4 linked regions of the Pelodiscus sinensis genome follow. The protein of the gene in region 1 purifies or fractionates together with the protein of each later gene. This does not show direct contact. Links are inferred from orthologs where the notes say so. Each region holds a gene or a part of one and is shown in the gene's direction. Other genes may lie near its edges.

What was found.
Region 2: the proteins of COPS6 (region 1) and KLHL18 purify together in Homo sapiens (affinity purification with mass spectrometry; 3 studies listed by BioGRID and IntAct, with this or other methods). This does not show direct contact. The link is inferred for Pelodiscus sinensis from reciprocal best matches to the Homo sapiens genes COPS6 and KLHL18.
Region 3: the proteins of COPS6 (region 1) and CUL4B purify together in Homo sapiens (affinity purification with mass spectrometry; 8 studies listed by BioGRID and IntAct, counting the BioPlex papers as one, with this or other methods). This does not show direct contact. The link is inferred for Pelodiscus sinensis from reciprocal best matches to the Homo sapiens genes COPS6 and CUL4B.
Region 4: the proteins of COPS6 (region 1) and BTBD2 purify together in Homo sapiens (affinity purification with mass spectrometry; 4 studies listed by BioGRID and IntAct, counting the BioPlex papers as one, with this or other methods). This does not show direct contact. The link is inferred for Pelodiscus sinensis from reciprocal best matches to the Homo sapiens genes COPS6 and BTBD2.

The regions. Positions count from the first base shown.
Region 1 is NC_134734.1:7,454,180-7,462,175, forward strand, and holds the start of COPS6 (COP9 signalosome complex subunit 6), read left to right. Parts: upstream 1-4,987; 5' UTR 4,988-5,079; coding exon 5,080-5,146; intron 5,147-5,585; coding exon 5,586-5,711; intron 5,712-6,781; coding exon 6,782-6,913; intron 6,914-7,636; coding exon 7,637-7,725; intron 7,726-7,996. Other genes in the region: lysophosphatidic acid receptor 6-like, read right to left, coding at 1-149, 2,008-2,016. UniProt on the Homo sapiens protein: Component of the COP9 signalosome complex (CSN), a complex involved in various cellular and developmental processes.
Region 2 is NC_134712.1:255,873,339-255,880,339, forward strand, and holds the start of KLHL18 (kelch-like protein 18), read left to right. Parts: upstream 1-3,997; 5' UTR 3,998-4,115; coding exon 4,116-4,250; intron 4,251-7,001. Other genes in the region: kinesin-like protein KIF9, read right to left, coding at 209-266. UniProt on the Homo sapiens protein: Substrate-specific adapter of a BCR (BTB-CUL3-RBX1) E3 ubiquitin-protein ligase complex required for mitotic progression and cytokinesis.
Region 3 is NC_134723.1:33,773,097-33,780,427, forward strand, and holds the start of CUL4B (cullin-4B), read left to right. Parts: upstream 1-4,314; 5' UTR 4,315-4,431; coding exon 4,432-4,450; intron 4,451-7,331.
Region 4 is NC_134729.1:27,664,239-27,671,977, forward strand, and holds the start of BTBD2 (BTB/POZ domain-containing protein 2), read left to right. Parts: upstream 1-4,739; coding exon 4,740-5,089; intron 5,090-7,739.

The DNA.
Region 1 (7,996 bases):
AGCACAGAGAGGTTTCCGGCCAGGCCAAGCACAAAGACCAGGCTGTAAACCACAGGAAACAGCACATACTGGAAGTCGGCTTGTTCCCCACAGCCTGAGGTCTCATTGGAGGGCAGCGCTGAGACATTCACACCCACGGACCACCAAGGCTGAGAGGAAGGGAGAGAGATTAGAAAGGCTCTGCCAGTGCCCTTCACTCCAGACCTGCAGCCCCTGCCAGCCCAATCCTGCCCCCCGCCCTGCCGGTATCCCTCACTTCAGACCCACAACCCCTATCAGCCCAGCCTTGAGCTTCTCCAGTCCTGCCAGTGGCCCTCACTCCAGCCCCTCCAGCCCTCCTGACCGCAGCCCCCGCCAACCCAATCCTGCCCCATGCCCTGCTGGTGCCCCTCACTCCTGACCTGCAGCCCCTACCAACCCAATCCTGCCCCCCAGCCTTGCCAGTGCCCCTCACACACAAACCACAGCCCCTGCCAGCCCAAACCTGCTTCCCCCTAGCTCTGCCAGTGGCCCCACAAATAGGGATGTTAAAATGTGCCTAATTAAGTAGCCATGCAACTGCTGAAATTTTACACAGACAGACACCAGGTGGCAGTTGACTCCTCAGGAGCCGGTCGGTGCACAAGGGAGTCAGCTTTTAAGCTGACCCCTCACTCCTGACGTGCAGCCCCTGCCAGCCCAGCCCTGCCGGTGCCCCTCACTCCTAACCCACAGTCTGCTAGTTTCACTTTCCAGTTGGTTTTGACAGCCACAGCTGGGCTGGGGCCCAGAAATCAGCTTTGTTTGTGTCCCATCTGGGGGCCCCTAGGGCAACGTGAGGGGTCATGTCCCCTCAGGAGCTGAGCTCCCCGATGCGGGTTAAGGATGTTCAAATGCATTTATTTAGGTAAACATGTAACTGCTGAAAAACTGAGCCACCTGTAGCACTGGGGAAGGGAAGGGAGGGGGGAGACACAGGCAGGAGGTGGTGCACACAGGAAGCCAACTTAAAAGCACAGACAGCAGTAAGGGGGGCATATACTGGCATATACTGGCTCTGCGGGAGCCAATATGTGCAGAGAGCCCCCATGCTGCTAACTCTGATCCGGGGAGAGGGGTGTTGTTGCATCCAACTATGAGAGTTAACTGATAACACATATTTACACTATCACATCCCTAGTGCAGGTGGGGCCTGGGTCCCAGAGCCCTGGGCACACTTGGGCCCAGAGGGATCCTGGGGGGAGACCTGTGGTTTCCCTGAAGGGTTTGCAGGCGGATATTGGGAAAGCCCAGGACAGCCTGGCACCCAGTGTCGCAACCAAAATGCCACTTAACGGGCTCTGCAGCCAGCTGAGCAAACAGGCGGGTCCCCGCTGGGGGAGGAGTGGGGGCCAACAGGAGCCGTCAAGCTCAGTGCCTGACAGGGGTGTGGGGTGGGAAAGGGGGAAGCCGGGCTCAGAGCCCAGCTGCATCCAGGTGGGCAGAAAGAAATTCAGGAGCAACTTGACAAAGAATTGCCACGCTCTGCTCTAAACCCTCCATCCCCCAGTGCCCCCAGCACCATCTAGTGGTTACAGCAGGGGGCCAGGACTTCTGGGTTCTCTCCCCTGCTCTTGGAGGGCTCTGGAATCTCCACAGAGACCCCCCCCCCATCCTATTTTGAACCCTGCTCTGTCCCAGACCCCATGGGCAAAGGGTCCATGGGCAAAGGGAAGAAACAATGTGGCTTCAGACCAAAGATCTGCCAGCCTGGCTCAGCTTTGGGACAGAACACCTGGGGGTGGGGGGAAGCTTAAAAATTCTCCCAGGTATCAGTTCTGAGGCCCCTTCATTCCCATAGCCATAGCCGGAGGAGGGGAGTATCAATCCCCTTCTCCTCCTTGGAACTTCTCTCTCCTCTGCCTGCTCAATCCTCCTCTCAGGACCTGGACTCCGCTACCTCCAGCCAGCCCCAGACACCCTGCCCTTCTTCCGCTGTCCCTCAAGCCAGAAGACCCCTGTGCCAGCCCCCTCAGCTATGTGACTCACCCCAGCCATGGGAACCGTCTCCTACTCCTGTTTCCGTAGAGTCCAGTCTCAGACTGAGCAGCTCGACTCACCCTGTTGAGAAATGCCCTGCCCCTCTCTCCAAGCAGGGAGGAGGTTCCCAGAAGAAAGGGGTGGGAGGAGAACACCCTAACCCTGGGCAGATCAATCCCCAGTAAATTCAGCCCAGCCCTGAGTGGGCTGCTGGTGGTCCCAGCAAGTCCTGGTTATGGGGTTCATGTGTTTGGGGTGAGGCTGCCCAGCTCTATTGCCAAGGGGCAGCTGGTCTATGCCTGGGCATCTTGCATGCTACCTGGCACCCTGCCAGAGGGGCACCAGCTGGTAGGCATTACACCAAGCGTACAGACCTGCCACAGCTCCCCGGCAGTGTTCTCCGATCCCTATATACAGGCAGTCCCCGGGTTATGTACAAAATAGGGACTGTAGATTTGTTCTTAAATTCAATCTGTATGCAAGTCAGAACTGGCATCAGCCGCTGCTGAAACTGATCAGTTTCAACCGCAGCTGAATCTGGACACCAGTTCTGACTTACATACAGATTCAACTTAAGAAACCCAGGCGTCCCCAAGTCAGCTGCTGCTGAAACTGATCAGCAGCTGATTCCAGGAAGCCTGGGGCAGAGCAACTCTGCCTCGGGCTTCCTGTAGTCAGCTGCTGGTCAGTTTCAGCAGCTGCTGACTTGGGGACGCCTGGGGCAGAGCAGCTGGGGTGCTGCTGGGTTGCTCCAGTAGCGCCGCTCCTGGAGCAACCCAGCAGCACCCCAGCTGCTCTGCCCCAGGTGTCCTGATTCAGCCGCTGCTGAAACTGTCCAGCAGCGGCTGAATCAGGACGCCTGGGGCAGAGCAGCTGGGGTGCTGCCGGGTTGGTCCGGAGCGGCGCTGCGGGACCAACCCGGCAGCCCCCAGCTGCTCTACCCCAGGGGTAGGCAAGAAAAGCCTGGTCTGCTGGGGGGGGGGCACTAGCTGCACCCCCCCCCCCAGCAGACCAGGGAGACAGGGGTGGCGGGACCGCCCAAGTCCTCCACGGCTTTGCTCCGTCTCCCTGGTCTGTTGACCTGGGAGACACAGAGCAAAGCCGCAGAGCACGCGGGCAGCGGGACAGTCCAGGCGCGCCACGGCTGTCCCACTGCTGGCGTGCTCCGAGGCTTTGCTCCCCATCTCCCTGGTCTGGAGACGGGGAGCAAAGCCGCAGAGCACGCCCGCAGGGGGACAGCTCAAGCGCGCCCGGGCTGTCCCGCTGCGGGCGTGCTCCAAGGCTTTGCTCCCCGTCTCCCTGCAGACCAGGGAGATGGGGAGCAGCTTTTCTCGCCCCGGAGGACGAGGGCGGCAGACCATGGTGCATCTGGGCGTCCCGCCGCTCCCGTCCTCCGGGGCGAGAAAAGCCCCGTTCGTAACTGCGGATCTGACATAAGTCTGATCCGCGTAACTCAGGGACTGCCTGTATGTGCATGGCCCAGGCACTGTCATCCCCTGTACCCTCCCCCCCACATTCACTGCCTCTTGCACACTCAGGGCCACACGAGATACAGGCACAAATGCACAAAGGCGAGTAAACAGACATTGTGACAAAAACAAAACAAACACACTTGCACAAGATACAAGAACAAACGGAGACCCTCATAACACAAAAACACACCAAGCAAAGTGACACACGAGATAGGGGCACAAAGACACAGTCATGTAAACAGTGACCTACACACCATGGAAACATATATATACAAAGGTACACACCCCTGCAGACCAGCATATTTGTACCCTTTCTTCCTGTTGTCGGGGTCTCGAACCCGGACGGCCTCTGTTCGTTGTCTGACCGCAAAGAGACAGGCAACACCAGCAAGATCCAATCACAAGCTCTTTATTGAATAGTGCGCACTTACAATAGAGAGCGGCCCGTCTCCAAAGAGAACCAGCCCCGATTTCATTAACAGGCAGGCTTATATAGACAGTTCCATCATGTCATAGACTATTTGCCCAAGCAACCCACCCCTCTTTATCAGTTAGAAACTTTTAGTATCCATGCACACCTGGCCAACTATACATCATGGCCTTAAGCAATTCAGAATGCATCAGCAATTTCTTATCAGCCCAAAAGATAGGTACTGGGCAACAAGGAGACAGTTTGTTATGGCCAAAGGAGAACATAAACAGGGAATTTGGAACAAACAGGGGGAAAGTAGAAACAGGGAGTCTCCTTATCAGTTCTCAAAACAAACTGTTCCTTATCGTAGCAGGTACAAAAATGCAGCTTTTTACTTATTTCAGTTTGCAACTTGAGCAAGCCTGTAGGGTGCGTCCCTGCTTGAACCTATCTCCAGTTCTGCCCAGGGACTACCCAGAAATCTTTGTTACATTTGCTTTAGCATAACTGCACTAGGCCTAATTTTCTAGGGCCTAACACTGTGCAGTCACACACACCCTGCAGGCCTCTTTTCGCTCACACATGACTTGCACGCCCACACACACCGCTTTGCACACTCGCGCCACCTTGCACACTCACACGTGCCTTGCACAGCTGCACACACAATATACGCCCCTATTCACCCCTCCCCCGACGTGATAGCTCGGTTTTGGCTGACTGGCCCGGCGGTGCCGGGAAATTCCCCCAGATTAAGTAACCGGCTTGTCCGTTTCCTGCTGCCGCGGGCGCCCGGCGGGGGCGGGGTGAGAATGCCACCTGGGGGGGGGGCGGCACTGCAGTGCGCGTGCGCAGGAGTGTCGGTGCCGATGGGGCGCACGTGCGGGGGTGCGTTCACACGAGTGTGTGACATGGGTGTGTCACAAGTGCGTGAGACCACGATTAGCCCAGAGGCCAGGCGGGAAGCCCGGGGGCTGGTCCCAGCCCTGGCCCACGCAACCGGGCGGAGAACCCAGGAGTCCAGGGTGACGCAACAGCCCCTCCTGTGCATGCGCATCTGGGGGAGGGAGTCCGGCCGGTTCCTGCTGCGCATGCGCTGAGGACACCTGGCTCCTCCCCCCCCTCGCGTGCGGGGATGGGAGCGCATGCGTGGAGTGGAGAGCTGCGTACGGGCGCCGGGTCGGGACACACGGAGCCGAGATGGCGGCGGCCGGAGCCTCCTGCGCCGGCAGCAACGGGGCCGGCGGGATGGAGGTGGACGCGGCAGGTGCGGGGGGGGGGCGGGGCCTTGCGCCTTCCACCCCAGATTCCTCCCGTTGTCACTCGCGCCGCTCCTCCTCAGGACTCCGCCCTCTTCCCCGCTGGCTCGGCCCCCCCCTTCCCTCAGACTCTGGCACCGCCCATTCTCAGGTCACGCCCCTCCTCGCCTGTTCCCCCTTCATCCAGAAGCTCCGCCCCTTCCCCACTCATACTCTGCCGTTGGCTCAGCTCCTTCTGCTTGGCCACGCCCCCGTCCCGATACACGCCCCCTTCTCTTTGGAGCTCCGCCCCTCCCCCATCTCTTCCCATAGCCCTGGCTGGGATGATTTAGTTGGGTTGGTCCTGCCTTGGGCAGGGGGCTGGACAGATGCTTCCTGAGGTCTCTGCCAGCCCTGGGATTCTGTGATTCCTGCCCCTCACCCCACTGACCATGCCTCTCCCCCCAGTGCTTCCCACCGTGATGGCCTCAGGTGTGACGGGCAGCGTCTCTGTGGCCCTGCACCCACTCGTGATCCTCAACATCTCTGACCACTGGATCCGCATGCGCTCACAGGAGGGACGCCCTGTGCAAGGTATCAACCCCGTCCCTGCCCAGGCAGCCCCCCCACCCTGTGCAAGGTATCAACCCCGTCCCTGCCCAGGCAGCCCCCCCACCCTGTGCAAGGTATCAGCCCTTCCCCCACTCGGGCAGCTGCCCAGTACAGTGGCTCCCCTCCCCCTAACCAGCTCAGGCAGCCACGCGCCCAATCCCTAGTGTCACTGAAAGTTATGGGGTAGTCACCCCCATGCCCATCCTCAACCAGAAGTGACTCTCAGCCAGTAGGTAGGACAGAAAGTTTAATAACTGACAGGGATGCAGCGTAGAACAGACTTCTTACCCCAGAAACTAGAAGCAGCCAGCACAATCCATCTAGAGAGGAGGGGGAGCTCTGCAAGCCATTCCCAGCTCCTGGTCCCATGCCCCCCAGCCAGGCCCCTCCTCTGGCCTTTGTCTTCTTCCCAGGCAAAAAGTGTCACCTGATAACACCCCCTTCCTGGGTTCAGATTGCAGAAGGCATCAGCCATTTGCATGTGGGGGAGGCTCTGTCACCCAAATTCTCATCCTCATCTACGTATTAGTAGAGTGCTCAGGGAAACTGAGGCACACACACAGGGTTACTATAGGACAGTAGAACCTACCTGCAACATCATAAAGAGAATAAAACTTCCACAATCCCCATGTCATGACACCAGCTGGGTCCTGCGTGGCTAGCATGGTACCTGTTCCCAGTCTGATGCCCCCTTCATCCAGAAGCTCCGCCCCTTCCCCACTCATACTCTGCCGTTGGCTCAGCTCCTTCTGCTTGGCCACGCCCCCGTCCCCGATACACGCCCCAGAATCCTGTCCCAGCTCTTCCTCCTCCTCCTTTCCTCAAGCAGCTGACCCTACCTGCATGCCTCTGCCTTCATGCCATACCAGAGATTAGAGCAAATCTGCCCCCCACCAGGGCCCCACATGCTCCCTACTGAGCCAGGGAAGGAGGAAGCAGCTCAGGAAGCAATGAGTCCTTGATGGGGTAGGAGTGCCAGGCCTGTGGGGGTCCTGATTTAAGAGGTCCCCAGTCAGCCCCCCTGGGCCCATAACACAGCTTCCCTCTGTCAGTGATTGGGGCACTGATCGGGCGGCAGGAGGGCCGGAACATCGAGGTGATGAATTCCTTTGAGCTGCTGTCCCACGCGGCAGAGGAGAGCACCCTCATCGACAAGGAGTATTACTACACCAAGGAGGAGCAGTGTGAGTGTGCAGGAGATGGGAGGCTGGCGGGGACCCATCTTGACACTACTTGCTGCAGTTATCACTGAGGGAAGCCTGTCAGTGATGCTATTCTGTGGTGTAACTGCTGGGGCTGGGCAGCAGTGAGCAGCAAAGAAAATGCCTCACAGTCCAGCCTGCTACCAAGTGCCCGAGCTGGGACCAAAGCCCTGGGGTGGGGGACTGCCCCTGAAAAACAGGGACTCTGGAAAGGGTAGAGGGGCCTCTGGTGATGGACAGCTCACCACATGCTGCAGCACAATGACATATGCACGGGGGCATGGTAAGCAGCCCCCCTGCCAGAAGGGGAATTTGACCCCTTGTGGCAATCTATTCTGGGTCCCCATTTTACAAAGGGTATGCAAGGGGCAGGAGGGAGCCATCCTGCTGCTTCAGGGCTTGGAGAAGTGGTTCCCTCCTTCCCCTGCCCGGCTGGCGCTCTGGTTAGGTGAGGTGCAGAAGTGCCATCATGGGGTGAAAGGGGGCAGGCATGTGGGAGACAGCACCGGTGCTGGTAGGCTGTGACTTAGGGCAGAACAGGAGCTAAAACCTGAGCAGTGCAGGTTGGTACAAGGGGGGATCCCAGCCAGGCTGGAATTAGCCTTTTCAACTCTTCCAGGGCACATTTCCAGTCTGGGGACAGGTCCGGTTCCATGCTGCCCTGCCCATCTGCTGATCCTGCTCCTCTCTTTCCCTACCCCACAGTCAAACAGGTTTTCAAGGATCTGGAATTTCTGGGCTGGTACACAACAGGCGGCCCCCCGGACCAGTCTGACATCCACGTCCACAAACAGGTCAGCCCCCTCTCCTGGCTCCCAGACCCCTGCTCTTACCCACCAGCCTCCACTTCTCTCCCAGAACTGGGGAAAGAACCCAGGAGTCCTAGCTTCCAGCCCCTCTCCTCTCCCACGATCACTAGAGCCTTTGACAGCTGATCCTGACTGGTTTGGCTAGGAGGCTGTCAAGTACTGGCACTTCATCTACCCCTCTCAGCACTGCCATGTTGCTCCTACCCTCTGCCTTGGAGCTGCCCCTCACCCCCCTGGGAGCTCTTGCTTGCTGTGC
Region 2 (7,001 bases), on another chromosome or scaffold:
AACCTTTCCACACTCTGACCACTATCTGGTGATATGTCAGACATTGGGTCTACTTCATAATGTTAGTCTAAATTAGGATACAATCCTGTGAGCCTGAGATGCACTAAATTCCCACAGGACTGAATGATGGTCGCGCCAGCTACGGATTTATGGGATTAGGCTCTGAGATTGGAAGATTCTCACCATCTCATCTGACGCATATACTCACCAATGAATAGGGATAATGGCTTGTGGGGACACCTGGAGGAGATTAAACAGATACACATGACTATTCAGGCCAGCGGTTTCTGGGCTATGACTCTCACATGGAGTCAGTGCTAGTGATGGTCCAGGACAGTGCAGTTGTTGTTTTTTTTAATCCAAAGACCAGGTAAGGTTCAGGCACTGGTACTGTAATCTTTCATAGCAATGGGATTCTACCTTGACAAGAAAATTGTGAGGAAAGGGGCACTGTTTCTTTAAGGCTGTAGAAAGAAGACAGGTAGGAAAAGGGAGCTAGGGAAGGTTCTAAGCCGACGCTCAAAGGTGAGAGAGGGCTAATGCAATTTTCCTTATTCAAATAAAATTCCTTATTCAGTGTTAGAAGACAGTGGCTCCTGTGATTCTTTACCATTGACAGCAGGTTCACAGCTACACGTAAGAATGGGAGTTCAGCCACTATGGCCCATTCAGGCATTGGCCTTTCTGGACAGACTGCAACAAGGATGCCAATTTGTGTTGGCTGTGACGGCTGTGACATGGGCACTTTTTCACTGGATTGAGACCCACCAAGGTCATTCCACACAGGCTGCCACACAGCCTGCCAACTTTACCAACAATCACTCACTCACACAGGCTTTTAACCAACCACACAGAAGTGCCAGATTCCACAGCCCCTTTCCAATCTCCCCAACTGTGCAGTCAGACACATGTTGAAGTGCCTGAGACGTGGTTAGAGAGACAATGCTAACACATGGCTGTGAGAGCATGAAGAGGAGGTGATGCAGGAGCCCTGGGAGAGCTGGGACACTGGGATGAACTCAGAGATGATACACGGATGAGTGAGGATGGTGGTGACATGGAGACATGGGTGCGCTGGCAATATGAGATAGAGATGGCTGGGCAATGGGGAAGAGGATGATGCAATCCAGCAAGCGAGGCTGGAGGAGGTGACGGTGAGGGGTTTGTTGGGGTGTGTTGTTGGCGGTGATCATGCAGGACCAGTGAGACACATAGACAGGAATGGCTGGGATAAGTGGCAACACAGGGATAGGTGGGAAGCGGGGACGGTGGCAGTGACATGGAGATGGCATGGACAAGGACGGGGAAGACTGGGAGCTGGGAATGTAAGGATAGGTGAGACACAAGGATGGGGATGGGAATCAAGGGGGACTGAGTTGGCTGGGAGATGGAGACATGGGCCCAGGGATGGTGACAGGGGGTCACAGATAGTTGGCCAGTGGAGACGGTAATAGTGATGGCTGGGAAATGAGGGTATCTCAAAAGTGGGGATGGGATGCCTAGGAGGTGGGGATAGTGACAGGGATCAGCAGGAGGTGGGATGGGACAGTTTTGGTGATAGAAGGACGGGGAAGCCTGGGAGACAGGGGCAGGGGAGACAAAGATGCGGGGGTAGGCGATGGGGAGGGGGGCAGAGGTGGAGGAGGGTGGGGAGTGGAGCGGGGGTGGGCGATGGAAAGGGGGCAGAGGCGGAGGGGGCGAGGGAGGGTGATGGGGCGGGTGAGCTGGGGGAGGGGGGCGGGGTGGCGATGGGGAGGAGGCGGAGGGGGGCAGAGGGGGGCGGGGAGGCGATGGGGAGGGGGCAGAGGGGGATGGGAACAGAGGGGGGTGGGGATAGGCGATGGGGAGGGGGCAGAGGCGGAAGGGGCAGAGGGGGCGGGGTGGCGATGGGGAGGGGGCAGAGGCGGAAGGGGGGGCGGGGGTAGGCGATGGGGAGGGGGCAGAGGCGGAGGGGGGCAGAGGGGGGCGGGGAGGCGATGGGGAGGGGGCAGAGGCGGAAGGGGCAGAGGGGGCGGGGTGGCGATGGGGAGGGGGCAGAGGCGGAAGGGGGAGGGGGGGCGGGGGTAGGCGATGGGGAGGGGGCAGAGGCGGAGGGGGCAGAGGGGGGCGGGGAGGCGATGGGGAGGGGGCAGAGGCGGAGGGGGGCAGAGGGGGGCGGGGAGGCGATGGGGAGGGGGCAGAGGCGGAAGGGGCAGAGGGGGTGGGGATAGGCGATGGGGAGGGGGCAGAGGCGGAAGGGGCAGAGGGCGTGGGGATAGGCGATGGGGAGGGGGCAGAGGCGGAGGGGGGCAGAGGGGGCGGGGAGGCGATGGGGAAGGGGCAGAGGCGGAGGGGGGTAGAGGGGGCGGGGAGGCGATGGGGAGGGGGCAGAGGCGGAAGGGGGAGAGGGGGGTGGGGAGGCGATGGGGAGCGATGGGGAGGGGGAAGAGGCGGAGGGGGCAGAGGGGGGCGGGGGTGGCGATGGGGAGGGGGCAGAGGCGGAAGGGGCAGAGGGGGCGGGTGAGCTGGGGGAGGGGGCAGAGGGGGCGGGGTGGCGATGGGGAGGGGGCAGAGGCGGAGGGGGCAGAGGGGGGCGGGGTGGCGATGGGGAGGGGGCAGAGGCGGAGGGGGGCAGAGGGGGCGGGGAGGCGATGGGGAGGGGGCAGAGGCGGAGGGGGGCAGAGGGGGCGGGGAGGCGATGGGGAGGGGGCAGAGGCGGAAGGGGGAGAGGGGGGTGGGGAGGCGATGGGGAGGGGGCAGAGGCGGAAGGGGCAGAGGGGGCAGAGGGGGGCGGGGTGGCGATGGGGAGGGGGCAGAGGCGGAAGGGGCAGAGGGGGTGGGTGAGCTGGGGGAGGGGGCAGAGGGGGCGGGGTGGCGATGGGGAGGGGGCAGAGGCGGAGGGGGCAGAGGGGGGCGGGGTGGCGATGGGGAGCGATGGGGAGGGGGAAGAGGCGGAGGAGGGCAGAGGGGGGGCAGAGGCGGAGGGGGAGGGGCCAGAGGGAGCGGGGGTGGCGATGGGGAGGGGCCAGGGGCAGACGGGACAGAGGGGGGCAATAGGGAGGGGGCAGGGGCAGGGGTGGCGATGGGGAGGGGTCAGAGGGGGCGGGGGGTGGCGATGGGGAGGGGGAAGAGGGGGCGGGGGTAGGCGATGGGGAGGGGGCAGGGGCAGAGGGGGCGGGGGTGGCGATGGGGAGGGGGAAGAGGGGGCGGGGGTAGGCGATGGGGAGGGGGCAGGGGCAGAGGGGGCGGGGTGGCGATGGGGAGGGGGAAGAGGGGGCGGGGGTAGGCGATGGGGAGGGGGCAGGGGCAGAGGGGGCGGGGTGGCGATGGGGAACGGGAAGAGGCGGAGGAGGGCGGGGGGGGCAGGGGCGGAGGGGGTGAGGGGACGGGGTGGCAATGGGGAGGGGCAGGGGCAGAGGAGGGCAGAAGGGGAGCAGAGGAGGAGGGGGCGGGGGGAGCGATGGGGAGGCGGCAGGGTCAAGGGGGGCGGGGGGGCGATGGGGAGCGGGCAGAGGGGGGCGGGGGACGATGGGGAGGGGCCGGGGGGGCAGAGGCGATGGGGGGGCAGGGGCGGAGGGGGGCAGAGGGGGCGGGGTGGCGATGGGGAGGGGGCAGAGGCGGAGGGGGCAGAGGGGGCGGATGAGCTGGGGGAGGGAGCAGGGGGGCGATGAGGGCAGAGGTGGGGGGGCGGGTGAGCTGGGGGAGGGAGCAGGGGGGCGATGAGGGCAGAGGCGGGGAGGTGGGGGGGCGGGCGAGCTGGCCGACGGGGGAGGCGGGGAGGCGGTGCCGCCGCAGGCAGGGGCCCGGCACTGACCGGGGCTGGCCGCTCTTCCCGCCGCCGCCTGCTCCTGTCGCTGCCCGGGCCCGGGGCGCAGCGGAGGCCGCGGGCTGTACACTCCGTTACCATGACTCCCGCCCCTTCCGGCCGCGTCCGGAACGTGCTCGGAGGGAAGGCGGAAGCGGGGAGCGCATTTCCGCCGCGGAGGGGCGGGGCGGGGCGGGGGCGTGAGGGGGGTCGGGCCCCGGCTGGTGACGGCGGCCGGGAGGGGCCAGCGCGGGCCGGGCGCGAGCGGAGGCGGAGGCGGCTCCTCTCTCCCGCGTTGCCCTGCGAGCGCGGGGCCGGGCCGGGCGGGACGATGCTGGAGGCGGCCGAGCCGGAGCTGGACCCCGAGGACCTGGTGCACTTCTCGGTGGGGGACCTGCCCAGCCGGGGCTACGGCGTGATGGGCGAGATCCGGAGGCAGGGCAAGCTCTGCGACGTGACCCTCAAGGTGCGGGGGGGCCTGGGGGGAGGGACCTATGGGGGGAGCTCTGCGGGGGGGGCAGTGGGGTGCTGGGGGGGGGGAGCCCTGGGGGGAGGGGACCTATGGGGGGAGCTCTGCGGGGGGGGCAGTGGGGTGTTGGGATGGGGAGCCCTGGGGGGAGGGGACCTATGGGGGGAGCTCTGCAGGGGGGGGCAGTGGGGTGTTGGGATGGGGAGCCCTGGGGGGAGGGGACCTATGGGGGGAGCTCTGCGGGGGGGGCAATGGGGTGTTGGGATGGGGAGCCCTGGGGGGAGGGGACCTATGGGGGGAGCTCTGCGGGGGGGGCAGTGGGGTGCTGGGGGGGGGGAGCCCTGGGGGGAGGGGACCTATGGGGGGAGCTCTGCGGGGGGGGCAGTGGGGTGTTGGGATGGGGAGCCCTGGGGGGAGGGGACCTATGGGGGGAGCTCTGCAGGGGGGGGCAGTGGGGTGTTGGGATGGGGAGCCCTGGGGGGAGGGGACCTATGGGGGGAGCTCTGCAGGGGGGGGCAGTGGGGTGTTGGGATGGGGAGCCCTGGGGGGAGGGGACCTATGGGGGGAGCTCTGCAGGGGGGGGCAGTGGGGTGTTGGGATGGGGAGCCCTGGGGGGAGGGGACCTATGGGGGGAGCTCTGCAGGAGGGGGCAGTGGGGTGTTGGGATGGGGAGCCCTGGGGGGAGGGGACCTATGGGGGGAGCTCTGCGGGGGGGGCAGTGGGGTGCTGGGGCGGGGAGCCCTGGGGGGAGGGGACCTATGGGGGGAGTTCTGCGGGGGGGCAGTGGGGTGCTGGGGCGGGGAGCCCTGGGGGGGAACCTATGGGGGGAGCTCTGCGGGGGGGGCAGTGGGGTGCTGGGGCGGGGAGCCCTGGGGGGGGGACCTATGGGGGGAGCTCTGCGGGGGGGGCAATGGGGTGTTGGGATGGGGAGCCCTGGGAGGAGGGGACCTATGGGGGGAGCTCTGCGGGGGGGGGCAATGGGGTGTTGGGATGGGGAGCCCTGGGGGGAGGGGACCTATGGGGGGAGCTCTGCGGGGGGGGCAATGGGGTGTTGGGATGGGGAGCCCTGGGGGGAGGGGACCTATGGGGGGAGCTCTGCGGGGGGGGCAGTGGGGTGCTGGGGGGGGGAGCCCTGGGGGGAGGGGACCTATGGGGGGAGCTCTGCAGGGGGGGGCAGTGGGGTGTTGGGATGGGGAGCCCTGGGGGGAGGGGACCTATGGGGGGAGCTCTGCGGGGGGGGCAGTGGGGTGTTGGGATGGGGAGCCCTGGGGGGAGGGGACCTATGGGGGGAGCTCTGCAGGGGGGGGCAGTGGGGTGTTGGGATGGGGAGCCCTGGGGGGAGGGGACCTATGGGGGGAGCTCTGCGGGGGGGGCAGTGGGGTGCTGGGGCGGGGAGCCCTGGGGGGAGGGGACCTATGGGGGGAGCTCTGCGGGGGGGGCAGTGGGGTGCTGGGGCGGGGAGCCCTGGGGGGGAACCTATGGGGGGAGCTCTGCGGGGGGGGCAGTGGGGTGCTGGGGCGGGGAGCCCTGGGGGGGGACCTATGGGGGGAGCTCTGCAGGGGGGGCAATGGGGTGTTGGGATGGGGAGCCCTGGGAGGAGGGGACCTATGGGGGGAGCTCTGCGGGGGGGGGGCAATGGGGTGTTGGGATGGGGAGCCCTGGGGGGAGGGGACCTATGGGGGGAGCTCTGCGGGGGGGGCAATGGGGTGTTGGGATGGGGAGCCCTGGGGGGAGGGGACCTATGGGGGGAGCTCTGCGGGGGGGGCAGTGGGGTGTTGGGATGGGGAGCCCTGGGGGGAGGGGACCTATGGGGGGAGCTCTGCAGGGGGGGGCAGTGGGGTGTTGGGATGGGGAGCCCTGGGGGGAGGGGACCTATGGGGGGAGCTCTGCGGGGGGGGCAGTGGGGTGCTGGGGCGGGGAGCCCTGGGGGGAGGGGACCTATGGGGGGAGTTCTGCGGGGGGGGCAGTGGGGTGTTGGGATGGGGAGCCCTGGGGGGAGGGGACCTATGGGGGGAGCTCTGCGGGGGGGGCAGTGGGGTGCTGGGGCAGGGAGCCCTGGGGGGAGGGGACCTATGGGGGGAGCTCTGCGGGGGGGGCAGTGGGGTGCTGGGGCGGGGAGCCCTGGGGGGAGGGGACCTATGGGGGGAGTTCTGCGGGGGGGGCAGTGGGGTGTTGGGATGGGGAGCCCTGGGGGGAGGGGACCTATGGGGGGAGCTCTGCGGGGGGGGCAGTGGGGTGCTGGGGCGGGGAGCCCTGGGGGGAGGGGACCTATGGGGGGAGTTCTGCGGGGGGGGCAGTGGGGTGTTGGGATGGGGAGCCCTGGGGGGAGGGGACCTATGGGGGGAGTTCTGCGGGGGGGGGCAGTGGGGTGCTGGGGCGGGGAGCCCTGGGGGGAGGGGACCTATGGGGGGAGTTCTGCGGGGGGGGCAGTGGGGTGTTGGGATGGGGAGCCCTGGGGGGAGGGGACCTATGGGGGGAGCTCTGCGGGGGGGGCAGTGGGGTGTTGGGATGGGGAGCCCTGGGGGGAGTTCTGCGGGGGGGGAGCGGGGTGTTGGGATGGGGAGCCCTGGGGGGAGTTCTGCGGGGGGGTAGCGGGGTGTTGGGATCGGGAGCCCTGGGGGGAGGGGATGGACTGCAGAGCTCTGGGGGGAATAGTGGGACTCTGGGATGTGGAGCCGTAGGGGATGGGGATGGGATGGGGAGCCCTGGGGGGAAAGGGCGGACTGGGGATGGAATCACATGGGGGAG
Region 3 (7,331 bases), on another chromosome or scaffold:
GCGCGTGCGCGTCGCAACCCCTGCAAGCCCCGCTCCCTCTGTCTGGCAAGCCCGCACCTTTCCTCGGGCTGGCTGTGGGGAACCCTGGTTACAGTGCTGGTCTATGGAGCTATACCTAGCCGTCTCATAGCGCTGGAAGGGACCAGTCCCCTGCCCTCACTGCAGGACCGAGAACCATCCCTGGCAGAGTTTGCCCCCGATTCCCTAAATAGCCCCCTTAAGGTTTGTGCTCGCAACTGTGGTTTTAGCAGGCCCATGCTCACACCAGTCAGCTATTCCTCCCCGCTGCGAAGGAGTTACTTCCTGAAGTGCGTGGACTCAGGCTCTGCCACTTAGAGACTGAAAAGCACGTTTAAGAAGTCAACATGCCCCAATGCTATCTTCTAACTTAGGGTACGTCCAGACTACATGCCTCCATCGACGGAAGCATGTAGATTAGCCAGATCGGCAGAGGGAAATGAAGCCGCGATTAAAATAATCGCGGCTTCATTTAAATTTAAATGGCTGCCCCGCTCTGCCGATCAGCTGTTTGTCGGCAGATCGGGGCAGTCTGGACGTTCCCCTGTCGCCAGAAAACCCTTTTGTCGACCGCCCCGTTATGCCTCGTGGGATGAGGCATAACGGGGCGGTCGACAAAAGGGTTTTCTGGCGACGGGAACGTCCAGACTGCCCCGATCTGCCGACAAACAGCTGATCGGCAGAGCGGGGCAGCCATTTAAATTTAAATGAAGCCGCGATTATTTTAATCGCGGCTTCATTTCCCTCTGCTGATCTGGCTAATCTACATGCCTCCGTCGACGGAGGCATGTAGTCTGGACGTACCCTCAGATGGCAAAGGAGAGAAAGGACAAATTTGGGGGGGAGGGTACAGTGGAGGGGAAATGAGGCCATGGCACCAAAATCAGGGGTGGGCCACAGATTGCCTATTTCAGTCAACTGAAAGGCGGCTGGGGGAGAGGCAGACTGGGACAGTGCTTCCTGGTGCTCTCATTGTCTGTGGACAGTAATCCGTGGATACCTGTCGAAGCACAGGTAAATATGGAGGTTGGGGCCCACCAGGAACTAAACCTGCAGGCTGGAATTTGCCCATCCCTGCTCTAAATCCTACTATGTGGCAAACAGGTTGGTAGTGTCAATATCTATACCATAAGACAAATACCCAAGTCCTCCATGCTTGTACTGAAATCCATGTTTCCTTAGGGAACATTCTACTACCTGCTGCACATGACAGCAAATTATGCCTTCTCTCTCCCATAGCTTCATGAGGATGAAGCTGAATGAATTGCAACTAAGAGTTTTCTGACTACTATGGGGCAGGGGGCGGGGGGGGGGGGGGAGATTCAAAAGGAACTCACTTTCATTGAAGACTAACCCTTGGTGTGGTTTCTCAGAGAAGCAGTTCTTGAGAAATTCCAAAATAACAAGTCTGAATTATTTTCAAGTGAGAAATCTGTAAAACAATCTGATTCACTTCAAACTGGGAAAATTTAAAACACACACACTAAAATAGACCAGAGTCAGATATCATGCAGATTGGTTTGAGAAAAAAAGTTATTGGAGAAGGCCAACTTTTCCTGCAAAAAGGGCTCCATCAACACACGTACAAGAGGAGACTTGGGAGGGTGGCCTTGTAGTTGGTACCAAGTAGGCATGAAGGAAATTTCAGTTAAGTTCCTGGCTCTCTTGATGACTTAATAGACAATCATAGCCAAGTCACTTAGGCCTGTAGTAAGTTAAAGGCCTGTAACATAAAAACAGCAGGCCTGAAATCTAGTGAACAAGACTTTGGCTCAGTGAAACCGGAGGCAGGAAAGAGGCTTGGCTAAAGAAAAATAATATAAGCCAGGTCAAGCATAAAGAATGCCAAAAGGTACCAGGCACAGGCTGCAAACACATTCCAGAGAAGTTGTAACAGAATGCCTGGCTAAGAAACATCTTGGTACCAACCGCTTCCCCACAAATAAAGTGCATACCAACCTAGGTTCAGGACCAGGTCGAAGTTGACAGCATGACGGGTTGGCTACGTCTAGACTACATCCCTTTTTCGTAAAAGAGATGTAAATTAGACGTATTGCAATTGCTAATGAAGCAGGAATTTAAATCTCCCCTGCTTCATTAGCATAAAAATGGCTGCCGCTTTTTTTTCGGCACAGAGCTTTGCCAGAAAAAAGCGCCAGTCTAGACACTGATCTTGCGGAAAATAAAGCCTTTTACGAAAGATCCCTTATCCCTCTATGAAATTGCTCTGGCCCCGGCTGAAGCCTGTAAAATCCCTGGGTTTCATGGGAATGCCTTCTTCAGGATAAGCAGTGGAATGAAGCAGGGATACAACCCCAACACACAGAAATGTCAGCGCCCCTTATTGTCAAAGTAGTTCCTCAAAGCCTCCCTGATATTGATAAGCCATCTTACGGGCTCCTCCGACAGCATGATTGTCTGGCTGTTCAAACTGTGCATCTGGGTGCTGTCTCTCACTGTTCCACCCACAGGCAAACACTTCACCCTAACTCTCATACAAATTATATGAGCAACAGCATGCAGCCACCATCTTGGGGATATGATCCTCCAAAAAGTCCACTGAGACACCTCCATTTCCCTTTCAGTCTCCCACAGGCACATTCAGCAATGTGGCATCAGCTTAGCCTGTTGCTGAACCGCTTCTTACTACTGTTGAAGTGCCCCTTGTAAGGCTTTATGAGCCAGGTCTGTAAGGGGTAAGTTGGGGTTACCTAGGATCATTTCCACTTCCTCCACTAATTTTCTGTTATGGAAAGAAAGTCAGCCTGAGGCTTTCTGTACAGCCACTGTTCCTGAAAACGCATGCATCGTGCACTTCTCCAACCACCCCATATTTATATCTGTGAAATGCCTACAGTGATCCACAGGTGCCTGAAGCTTCATGAAGAAGTACCCTTCCGATTGATGTAGTCTGTGGCAGGCGGGGTGGCGCTATAATGGGAATACATGTGCCAATTGCCCCGCCAGTTTAGAAAGACCATTTCAGCAAAGTCAACCACTATTTATGTCATCCACATTTCTCAGACTCCCAGTCCTACACAGCAAAATATGATTTATTGCCCTGCACACTTGCATAAGTGCTGTCCTGACAGTAGACTTCTGTTACCTACAAGCTCTGTGTTCTTGGGGAACCAGGGTGTGGTGCTCATGGAGGACACCCACCTCACTCCAGCCCTCTGCTTGAACCAAAGACAAAGACAGAGGAAGACACACCTAAACCCTCTAGACAAGGGTGATAGGATTAAGTAAACACCCCTATACAACAGCATGGAAGACAGGAGAGGACAGACAGACATCTTTATTTGCATACAGAATGGAGAACAGCACTTCCCTGGTGGGAAATCTCTGCTCTAGATGCTAATGAACCCATGCTCAAACCCAAATCAGTAATTATCAAACCAATTTTAGCAATAGGCCCTCTATTGATATCCATTATATGATTTACAATATAAATCATCATGCTTCAGAACATAAGCCAACTTCTGCATGAGAGGTATTAGGAAAAGTCTTTCCCTGTGAGCAGGTTATTCCATAACTCTTCAATCTTTCTTTACACTTTCCTGTGAAGCATCTGGCAATGACAGCTATCAGAAACTGGATACCGGATGGGTAGGAATACCGGTCTGATCAGGTATGACAATTCTTATATTTCTCTGATGCTAGGGTTGAGATTTCACAGTAAGATACATTGGACAGAGACCTTAAGTTCTCAAAAAGGAAGGCTTCTATTTTACATTTTTATGTAATTTTGTAAAATTAGCAGATAAATACATCCTAAATTGATCACAAACCTACTGCACTGTAATGGTTCCACATTATTTTTCCTTGTTAATTACTAACATCTGACTACATCCTGATACATGAATTGAAATGTTGTCTTATGTACCACTATAAAAATTTTACTAGCTATTGCACAACAAAGCCTTCATTATGCTTTCAGAAGCATTGCTTGTTTGTTACTTGCAGCCTTAACACTACTTTCCTGGGTGTTATTCCCCACACTCAAAAAATAGTCCATCAAAAAGAAAGGAGAAGTAATTATTAACATTATTCAACACAGAGTATTTTGAAACTACAAAATAGTCTTAAAAATTAACAGAACAAAAGCTATCCTTCTCTCCCCTCTGAATTCCAAATAAGGCCCCATGTATTGCAGGGTGGAAAAAGATCCGTTTCTTGAAGACTGAACACTGACACTGGTTAGGGAGTGTGTCACTGGAGGAGATCCTGGCACCAAAGGTAAGGAAAGTTAAAGAGCCATTTCTGAAGGTCGAGGTGGAGTGGAACAACAGTGGCCTCCTATGAAGATCCCAGCTGCTGGAAGGGGGAATGGGTTCTGGTGAAGACAGTTATGTTTTATATATTTGATTAGGACCAAATTATAGCGTATCTGGTGATGGTTCTGATAACTGGATGTACAGTCACCACCATGGTAATTAGCACAAAGATCATAGATTAAATAAGTTACAATAGATTAATTTAAGTATCCATCAATATTTTATTGGGTCAGACTAGACATAAATGCTTTTGTTCTTTATACAGCTGATAGAAAAAGGAAAACATACAGATGAGCTCCAATCCTGCTCCTATAGAAGCCAATGGTAGATTTCTAATAGACTTCAGTGAAAACAGGATCAAACCCATTGAGTATGCAAACTGCTAGGTTATTTTTCTAGGCAAAGTGAACTGAACAACCTTGATACTGTACAATTTACTAGGGCCTAATGTTTAATAAAATTATAACTATGATACACAGTATAAAATGATACCTGCATAAAAAGCAACATTTATTCAAATGGTAAAATAAACATACTCATGGAGAAATGATAAATATATGAAATTCAGAGAGATTAAGGAATTCCAACATTATATAAATACTCAAGTATATAAATAAGTAATTTAAAAAGCAATTATTTGTAGTCTCATTTGAAAAAAATAATTAGGGACCTCATTCAATACAAATAGTCTTGTTATTCTCTCACTGGAGTATAAACAAGGGGGAAATTTGACACTAACTATTCCAAGAGGATTTTCTTTGAGCTTTGTGGAAGACATTTATTTTCTGTAATACAGCTACATCTTAGTAAGCATAGCCTTGCTAGACATGGTTACCCTTTTTTAGAGGGCTACAGTTAAGAAATTACTGTATTCACACAATATGCAAATAGCATGAAGAACAGGCCAAATGTTGCCCCCAATAACACAGCCATAAACCTGGAATGATTTCAGTGTACCTAAATATATAACCAGTAAAACTGAGAGCATAATTTGGCCACAGGGATCACACAAAAGGCTTCCACCAGGAAACTAGTATCTCCCGTCTTCTGATAAGATGAACTCTTTCTGTCTCACTGGGTTCCAAAACAGGATATCCACCACCTCTGTTTTTCAGTTCTCCCAGGTTCTTTTCTGCATATGAGTGTCTTTGGAGGCACATCTGCAAACCAAGACTTCAAGGCTACTTTAATTTTTGCATGATTGGAATGTTTGCATATAGACTGAATAAATTCCAAAGCATTTATAATGAAGTTTTGTAATGCAACTGTTCATCATTATTAATCTCACCAAGATTTACACGGAAGCCAGGGCACTCCCTGTTTCTTAGCTTGCATAACACCTTAATTAGCAGTGGCATTTCTACACTGAGTACCTCATGCAAGCTACTTTGCACTCTCAACTCCAAATGAAATCACCTAGCAGGTTCTAAATAGGGATGTGAAAGGTTAACTAGTTAAACAGTGTGGCCTAGAGCAGCTCCCCACTTGCCATGGCAGCCCCATCCACAGTGGGCCCAGGCACCTGCAGGCAGGGGCTACTCCAGCCTGTCCAGAGCAGCCACTGTCTGCAGCAGGGGAGGAGAGGACAGTCAGGATGTTAAGAGGCAGGTAATTGTATTGACTACACAATTAGTCTATAGGGGAAGGTGCTAAGTCCCAGATCATGCCAGATGTAAGAGCTACTTCCAATGCAGCTTTGCAGTTTAAATGTAGTAAGAGCTGGGTGCGCAGGCAGCCCAGCTCAGTCCCAACTTGAGCCGGGTCCAGGACCTACCACAGCTATGGCTCTGCATTTTAAATATAGTCAGAGCCAGGTGCACATTTTACTACAGGTTGAACCTCTCTAATCCAGTACTCTCTCATCCAGAAACATCTGTTGTCCAGAATGATTTTAGTTAGCTGGATGTCCACCTTTCATGGATGTGGCCAAGTTTCCCACAGTCCAATAAAGTTTGTTTACAGCCACCAGTCCTAGCTCTCAGTGGAAGTGTTGGTAATGCTGCTAGACAATACTGACTTCCTGTAGTCCAGAAAATCCTCTCGTTCAGAACTGGTCAAGTCCCAAGGGTGCCGAACTAGAGAGGCTCAATCTGTACACTTAAAATGCAGAGCTGCAGCAAGGATAGGTCCCAAACCCACTACAAACTGGGACTGAGCCAAGCTTGCTCAGTCTTCACATCAGGTCCAGCAGCCACCCCCAACCCTCTACCCCTCGCAGACAGGGACTGCTGCTGGAGCAGCCTCTGCTCACTGCGAGCCTGAGCCCACTGCGGCCAACCTCTCCTTCCCCCCACTACACACACACTGCTGTACCTGATAGAGGCAGCCGCACAGGGGAGGGGAAGGCTTCACCAGAGAGACGGTGCTGGGGGAACGGGCTTTTAAATCAGCTCCTCCCAGCAATGGTTCCTGCTTCCCCCCCTTGATGCCCCTCATACAGAGGCTGCAAGGGGCAGGAGGGAATGCAAGTAGTCAGCCTAGGCTTATCGGGTAGTCAAGAATTTGACTGCTCTCTTACATCCCTAGAGGAGAAGCAGCACTGGGGTAGCAAGACTGCTCCACCCCAACTGGGCTGGGGCACGCCCCCTCCCTTTACTCAGTTAACCAGTTAAACAATTTGTTTAATCAGTTAACCAATGAAATAGCATTTTACATCCCTAGTTCTAAGTATACAGCATTTAAAATTCTCAAATAGCTTCGGAGACATGAAGAAGCAGACAGGGAAGAGCAAACTGATAAAGACTAGCTAAACTAACTAGACTAAAAAGTAATAAAAGCAACACTTATATTTTACCTTTCTTATTACACTATTAGTAACCACATAATTGCACACTTATTCTATTACACATCGGCTCAAAAGCAATTTCCAAAATATCTTGCATATGGAAAAAATGCAAGGTTTTAAGTCTGAGCTCTTTATTTCTAGTATTCAGACAAAAAAAGATTTCCAGCAAAACTCGGTAAAATTTCTTCCAGATCTCTGTAAACCATGCTTTCTGTCAAGAAACGTTAGTGTTATCTTTTTTTAGCATAACA
Region 4 (7,739 bases), on another chromosome or scaffold:
GACCAAGACAAAGTTGGTCTTTGTCTACCAAATCTTATGCCCAAATAAATCTCAGACAGGTAGCCAGGTTAGTTTATAATTTAAAAAAAAACGCAAGTGGTTCTGTAGCACCTCAGAGACTAACAAAAATATATAGAATATATAGAATTGGGGTTTTTCTCCTTTTTGCTCTGCTCCTCTGAAGAAGCAGATTGTGCTCACTAAAGCTCATGATTCTATCTATATATTTTTGTTAGTCTCTAAGGTGCTACAGGGCCACTCGGTTTTTCCCAAATAAATGTTAGTCTTTACGGTGCCACAGGACTCCTTGATTTTAAATAAAGATACTAGACGAGTGGCTCATTACAACAATCTGTAACCCACTAATCCTTTGTCCTGTGATGATTGATACATTAACTGCCCACTTCTCCATGGTCTCTTGCCAGATGTGCTAAAGCCTTATCTCTTGTACCCTTGTATTTAGCTGTGACACTTTAGTACCCTTCCCAGACCTGGGGTACGTCTGCACTGCAAACTTCTTTCGGAATAAGCTTTCCTGGCAGATATCTTCCGGAAAAGCTTATTTCAAAATAGAGCATGCACACTACAGAGACGCCTCCAAATTAGTCTGAGGCAGGCTCCCCCAATGTGGACGCGCTGTCTTGACTTAGAGCCCCAGGAGGCACTGCGGAGGAATGGCCCTGGTGAGGAGCTACTTCAACATAGCAGCAGTGGAGTGTCTATACACACCCTCTTCCGAAAACGTTTTTTCAGAAAAGGGCTTATTCCTCATAGAATGAAGTTTACCGCCATCTGTTATTTCGACTTTCTGTCAAAATAACACAAGTGCAGTGTGAACGCTAGTAGTTTTTCCCAAATAATGGCTGTTATTCCAGAAAACCGGTGCAGTGTAAATGCACCCCTAAAGAGCACCATGTAAGCTTGAAAACTTGTCTGTTTTGCCAACAGAAGTTGATCCAATATGTTACATCACCCACTTTGTCTTTTTACATATATATTGTATTTGCAAAACTGGGCTCTTAATTTTTAGCCACACATCTGCAGAATTTGTCCATATAGATTAGGGATGTTAAAATGCATTTAATTAAGTAAATGTGTAACCTATGAAAATTTCAGCAGTTACACATTTACTCCCTGGGAGCTGGTGCGCACGGGCTCTGTGCATACCAGGAGCCTGTGTGTTAACCATCAAGGTTAACTGAGGAACCCAGGCTCACTGGTTAACCATGTACACTGTTACACTTTCACCTCCCCGCTATATACTCCATTCTTCTTTGTTCAGTGTCGGCGTCGCCACAGCAGACTCCATATATTTGTTACCAAACGAGTTGGGAAAGCTTTTGATACTAGATCAATGCCCTAATGATGTATTCCTTAGCTGATGCAGTGATTTATCTGTGAAACTGCTGGGACGCACAGAGGGGTTGGAGCTTTGGACCCATATAAACAGTGTGTCATTGTGGATTAAGCAAACAAGAATCAAAACCACAGAAAAACAAGGGGAAGAAAATATGCCTCCTGGCTGAGCAGTTATTCAACCGGTGGAACCAAGGACAAAGAGTCTGCTCTGAAATGTGTATGTATGTACATCCACAGGCAGAATGTCACCAATGGAACAGAGAACAAGGAGGAGCAGGGAGTTTTATTCCCTTCTTTGTGGCAAATAAAATCGCCGGCTGTGTCTACACTGGGCCACTTATTCCGGAAAAGCAGCTGCTTTTCCGGAATAAGCTGCGAGCTGTCTACAGTGGCCGCTTGCTTTTCTGGAAAAGCAATGACGATCTACTGTAAAATTGTCAGTGTTTTTCCGGAAAAACTATGCTGCTCCCGTTCGGGCAAAAGTCCTTTTCTGGAAAAACTGTTCGGGAAAAGGGCCAGTGTAGACAGTACAGCAGTCTTTTCCGCAAAAAAGCCCCGATCGCAAAAATGACGATCGGGGCTTTTTTGTGGAAAAGTGCATCTACATTGGCCACAGACGCTTTTCCGGAAAAAGTGCTTTTCCAGAAAAGCATCCTGCCAATGTAGACGTGCTTTTTCCGGAAATACTTATAACGGAAAACTGTTCCGTTTTAAGCATTTCCGGAAAAGGGTGCCAGTGTAGACGTAGCCGCCTTGTTTTAATGGCTATCAAGTTTGGGCCAATATGGGCTCTTGTGATTGTCTGCACCTGCCCATCTGCTGCCTTTCAGGTTCCTTCTGACATCCCTGCCATTTCCTATGTAAGGAATATTGGCTGGCTGTGAAATAATTTATCTCATCTGCCAGGCAGCATGCACATCCTGCTGTGTTATCTTGCAAGGCATTCACGTTTCCACAGTATCTCCATGGCCGCAGCAGCGTACAATGAGGTGAGGTGCAAGGTTGGTGTGAAATACATGCCTACACAGCAGATGTTACACATGAGGTATCAGCTTATTGGCGAGCAGTATCTCTGAAGATAAGGAACACAGAGAAAAGAGCAGGTACATCAGCCACAGAGCATCAGTTCCTTGGCCTAAGGATTGTAAGGGATTGCAGAGCAGTAATCAACATAGCCTTGAGGTGCTGCTGAAGTTTTGGTATCTGGCTTTTGGAAAAGGTTGGTTTGCACCAGTGCAAAGGGATGACAGAATGGTGCTTCAGGCTTATTCTTCAGGGGATAAACGTAGACTAGTGAGTGGGCCACAGGAGTAGCCCTCCTTCATCTCAGTGGACCGCAAGACTGTTGTAACCAAGACTGTCTTGTGGGATAGGGTAGTTTTCCTAACAGTGCTTGCATACCTAGAATTTGCAGGGTATGCCAATTAAACCATAGCAGCGCCTTGATTGGATGCAGGGAGAGTGCCTAGTTCTCACAGTCACCATTGTGTGCAATCAGCACGCACCTCCTTGCATGCACCCTTGCTCTATTTTAGTAATACTGGCAGGAGAAAAACGATGCTGACAGAAACCAGGGGAATCTGACAACTCTGTGCATGGGCAATGGTAAACAAAACGTCCTGCAGGCCATCGGTCGAACCCTTTGGGCTGCAGGTCACCCGCCACTGAAGTGTTGCTGTTTCCCCAACAGGCTACCTAACCTTCATGAGAAGCTGCCTCTTCCTCATAAGCCCTCCACTCACCAAGGTGAGATGTAAGGGTGTTAAATTAGGGTTATCTGGCTAATCATGCAGTCAAGACAATTTGTAACTGACATGGAAATACCAAGAAGTTCCTCAGGTTCCCATTGCTGGGCTTCCTCCATCCCCTCATTCCTTCTCTCCCCTAAGACTCCCCCCTCCTGCATGTCTCTCCTCCCTCCCACCTCTCCCTCTCCTTACTGCGCCCCCCACAGGCCTCACACCTAACATACCCCTCTCCTTGCATTCCTCATCGCCCCCACACTCAGGTCTCCCTAACCCTTACCCTCGATCTCCCAATCTCCTCGTGGCCTCCCCGCCCCCTCCTCCATTCCCCACTCTCCTGTCCCTCACACCTCTCCCTCCTGCCCTGCCTCTCCCTTCCCACTCCCCAATGCAGGCCTCAAGCCTGACCTCTCCCCTCCTGCGTTTCTCCTGCCCCCATACCCCACCCTCCTCATGCCCTGCACCCCCACATACCCCACCCTCCTCATGCCCTGCACCCCCACGCACCCCACCCTCCATCTCCCACCCTCCTCATGCCCTGCACCCCCACGCACCCCACCCTCCATCTCCCCACCCTCCTCATGCCCTGCACCCCCACGCACCCCACCCTCCTCATGCCCTGCACCCCCACGCACCCCACCCTCCATCTCCCACCCTCCTCATGCCCTGCACCCCCACGCACCCCACCCTCCATCTCCCCACCCTCTTCATGCCCTGCACCCCCACGCACCCCACCCTCCATCTCCCCACCCTCCTCATGCCCTGCACCCCCACATACCCCACCCTCCTCATGCCCTGCACCCCCACGCACCCCACCCTCCATCTCCCACCCTCCTCATGCCCTGCACCCCCACGCACCCCACCCTCCATCTCCCCACCCTCTTCATGCCCTGCACCCCCACGCACCCCACCCTCCATCTCCCACCCTCCTCATGCCCTGCACCCCCACATACCCCACCCTCCTCATGCCCTGCACCCCCACGCACCCCACCCTCCTCATGCCCTGCACCCCCACACACCCCACCCTCCATCTCCCACCCTCCTCATGCCCTGCACCCCCCACGCACCCCACCCTCCATCTCCCACCCTCCTCATGCCCTGCACCCCCACGCACCCCACCCTCCATCTCCCACCCTCCTCATGTCCTGCACCCCCACGCACCCCACCCTCCATCTCCCACCCTCCTCATGCCCTTCACCCCCACGCACCCCACCCTCCATCTCCCACCCTCCTCATGTCCTGCACCCCCCACGCACCCCACCCTCCATCTCCCACCCTCCTCATGCCCTTCACCCCCACGCACCCCACCCTCCATCTCCCACCCTCCTCATGTCCTGCACCCCCACGCACCCCACCCTCCATCTCCCACCCTCCTCATGCCCTTCACCCCCACGCACCCCACCCTCCATCTCCCACCCTCCTCATGGCCACCACTGCCCCCCCGGCCTCATCCCTGCCATACCCCCCCACCCCTACCTGCCCCCCAACGCCCCCACGCCCCGCCCCCTGCGCGCGCCGCCGCGCCCGAGCCCCATGCGCCGCTGCTGCCCGGCCTTGTGCCTCAGCCGCCGCAGCGCCCCCGCCCCGCGCCCGCCGCCGCGCCGCCCTGCCCCGCCCGCGCCTCCTGCGCACAAGATGGCGGCCGGCGGGAGCGGCGGGGGCCCCGGGGGCCTCTCCTCCTCCGGCCCGCAGCCGCCGCCCCCCCCGGGCAACGGCGCCGCCTGCGCCGCCCCCGCGCCCGCCCCCGCCCCCGCCGCGCCGCCGGGCCTCACCTACAACCAGTGCGGGGCCGGCAACCCCGCGGCGGCGGCCGGGGCGGCGGGGCCCGGGGGCGGGGCGCTGCCGCGCGAGCCCGTGTACAACTGGCAGGCCACCAAGCCCACGGTGCAGGAGCGATTCGCCTTCCTCTTCAACAACGAGGTGCTCAGCGACGTGCACTTCCTGGTGGGCAAGGGCCGCGGCTCGCAGCGCATCCCGGCCCACAGGTGGGCGAGGGCCGGGGGGGCGGGGAGCATCCCCCTCAGGGGCGCGGGGGGGGACCATCCCCCTCAGGGGCGCGGGGGGGGCATCCCCCTCAGGGGGGCGAGGGCCGGGGGGGCGGGGAGCATCCCCCTCGGGGGGGCGCGGGGGGGGACCATCCCCCTCAGGGGCGCGGGGGGGCATCCCCCTCGGGGGGCGGGGGGGCATCCCCCTCGGGGGGGCGGGGGCCGGGGGGGCGGGGAGCATCCCCCTCAGGGGCGCGGGGGGGCATCCCCCTCGGGGGGGCGGGGGCCGGGGGGGCGGGGAGCATCCCCCTCAGGGGCGCGGGGGAGGCATCCCCCTCAGGTGGGTGAGGGCCGGGGGGGCAGTCCCCTCAGGGGGCCGGGGACGCGGGGGGGCATCCCCCTCAGGAGCGTGGGGGGGCAGCATCCCCCTCAGGTGGGCGAGGGCCGGGGGGGCATCCTCCTCAGGGGCGGGGGGGAGTATCCCCCTCAGGTGGGCGGGGGGCGGGGAGGGAAGCATCCCCCCTCAGGTGGGCAAGGGCCGGCAGGGCGGGGAGGGAAGCATCCCCCCTCAGGTGAGCAACGGGGGGGTGTAGGGACTAGGGGGGCGTGGGGCCCCAGGGGGAGAGGGGAGCATCCCCCCTCATGTGAGCAATGGGGGGGTAGCGACTAGGGGGGTGCCAGGGTGTGGGCTCTTGGGCTGCCTGGGGGAGCGGATGTAGGGCCCAGGGAATGCAGTGGAGCGAACAAGGAGGGGTTTAGGGCCCGGGAGGGGGGCTATCAGGAGGCCCACGGGAGGGGGGGTAGGGGAGCATCCCAGCCCTCAGGTGAGCAGTGGGACTGGGGTGTGTGTGTGTATGTGGGAGGGGACCAAGGGACGGTGCCAAGGAGGGGGTGTAGGGGAGCATCCCAGCCCACTTGTGGGTAGCCTGAGAGGAAGGAGGCAAAAAGCATACAAGGGGGGGTTGCAGTGGGCCACCCCAGTGTACAAGTAGGGACCACTGAGGTGGGGTGGAGCAGGCATCCCATGCTGGCCCCCACATGGGGCTTGCTGCTCCTCTCGCTGTCCGGGACACCGGTTGAGGTGAGCCATAGGCTGAGCCTCAACCTCCGCCCCTCCGTGGGCTCTGCATAGCAGGGGGCTGCGCTGGTGCTCCCTGCAGCTAGATACCTGGCCCCAGCCTGGACGCAGGTATGGTGAGGCAGGAGAGGGCCGCCCTTCCTTCTGCCATGCCTCTGGGCGGTGTGGTCACCTGCCTGCCCCCCTAGGTCTTCCACACGCCAGGCCTCACCAACACATCCCAGGGTTTGGGCCTCCTGCCTTGAGAGGGCCCAGAGCTGCTTTCCAGGCCTGTGATGGCTGGAGTGGAGGGAGCAGGATGCACTAAGGTGTCAGATCAGCCTGGGAATGCAGGCCCCCAAGTTGTCTCTGTGTGGGGTCTGTGTGGCATGGTGTTAGTGGGGCTCTGCCCTTTAAAGGGGTGCTTGGAATGGCTGCAAAGCAGTTGTGGGTTGGAGAAGCCATAGCCCACTGAGCACACAATCTTGTGTCTCCCTATTGGCACTTCAGGAGCAGAAAGCTGAGTGTAGTGACTCAGGCTTTAGCTGAGGAATCAAGATCTGTAGCTGGGGCTGTTACCCTTTGTTGACTGGGCATTGAACAGGAGTCTGTTCAGTGAGTTACAGACTCATGATGGAACAGCGGTGACAGAAAAGGTAACAAAATGTTTTTAAGTACATCAGAAGCAGGAAGCCTGCTAAACAACCAGTGGGGCTCCTGGACGATCGAGATACAAAAGGAGCACTTAAAGATGTCCTTGAGGAGAAACTAAATGAATTCTTTGCTTCAGTCTTCACTGGTGAGGATGTTAGGGAGATTCCCAAACCTGACCTGTCGGTGACAAGGACTTGTCACAGATTGAAGTGTCTTAGAGGAGATTTTGGAATTAACTGATAAACTTAATAGTAACAAGTCACCAGGACCAGATGGCATTCACCCAGGAGTTCTGAAAGAACTCACCTGTGAAATTGTGGAACTATTAACTATGGCTTGTAACCTATCCTTTAAATCATCGTCCGTACCCAATGACTGGAAGATAGCCAATGTAATGCTAATATTTAAAAAGGGCTCTAGAGGCGATCCCGGCAATTACAGACCGGTAAGTGTAACATCAGTACCGGGCAAATTAGTTGAAACAATAATAAAGAATAAAATTGTCAGACACATAGAAGAACATAATTTGTTGGGCAAAAGTCAACACAGTTTCTGTAAAGGGAGATCATGTCTTCCTAATCTATTAATGTACATGGGAGGCTTTAAAAAAAATGCTCATCTCTATTACACAAATCCAGGGGTGGCATGTACAACTTCTTAAAGGTATCCACTTGCTTTTACAACTTGCCTAAAGGTTGAAACACTGGGGTCATGGTGCAGGTCCCCTCTTGAAATATAGGTAGGCTGAACTGCTACAAGCGTGGCAGAAGAGGGCTGTGGCAAGACAGTTAGCTCTTGTGCATGGGCTAGAGTCATCTTTTAATGATGTGTCCAGTTCTTCCAGCATGATGGTGGTTATGGTTAGAGACCTACCAAACTCATGGCCGTGAAAAACAAGTCATGGACCATGAAATTTGGTCTCCCCCCTGTGAAATCTGG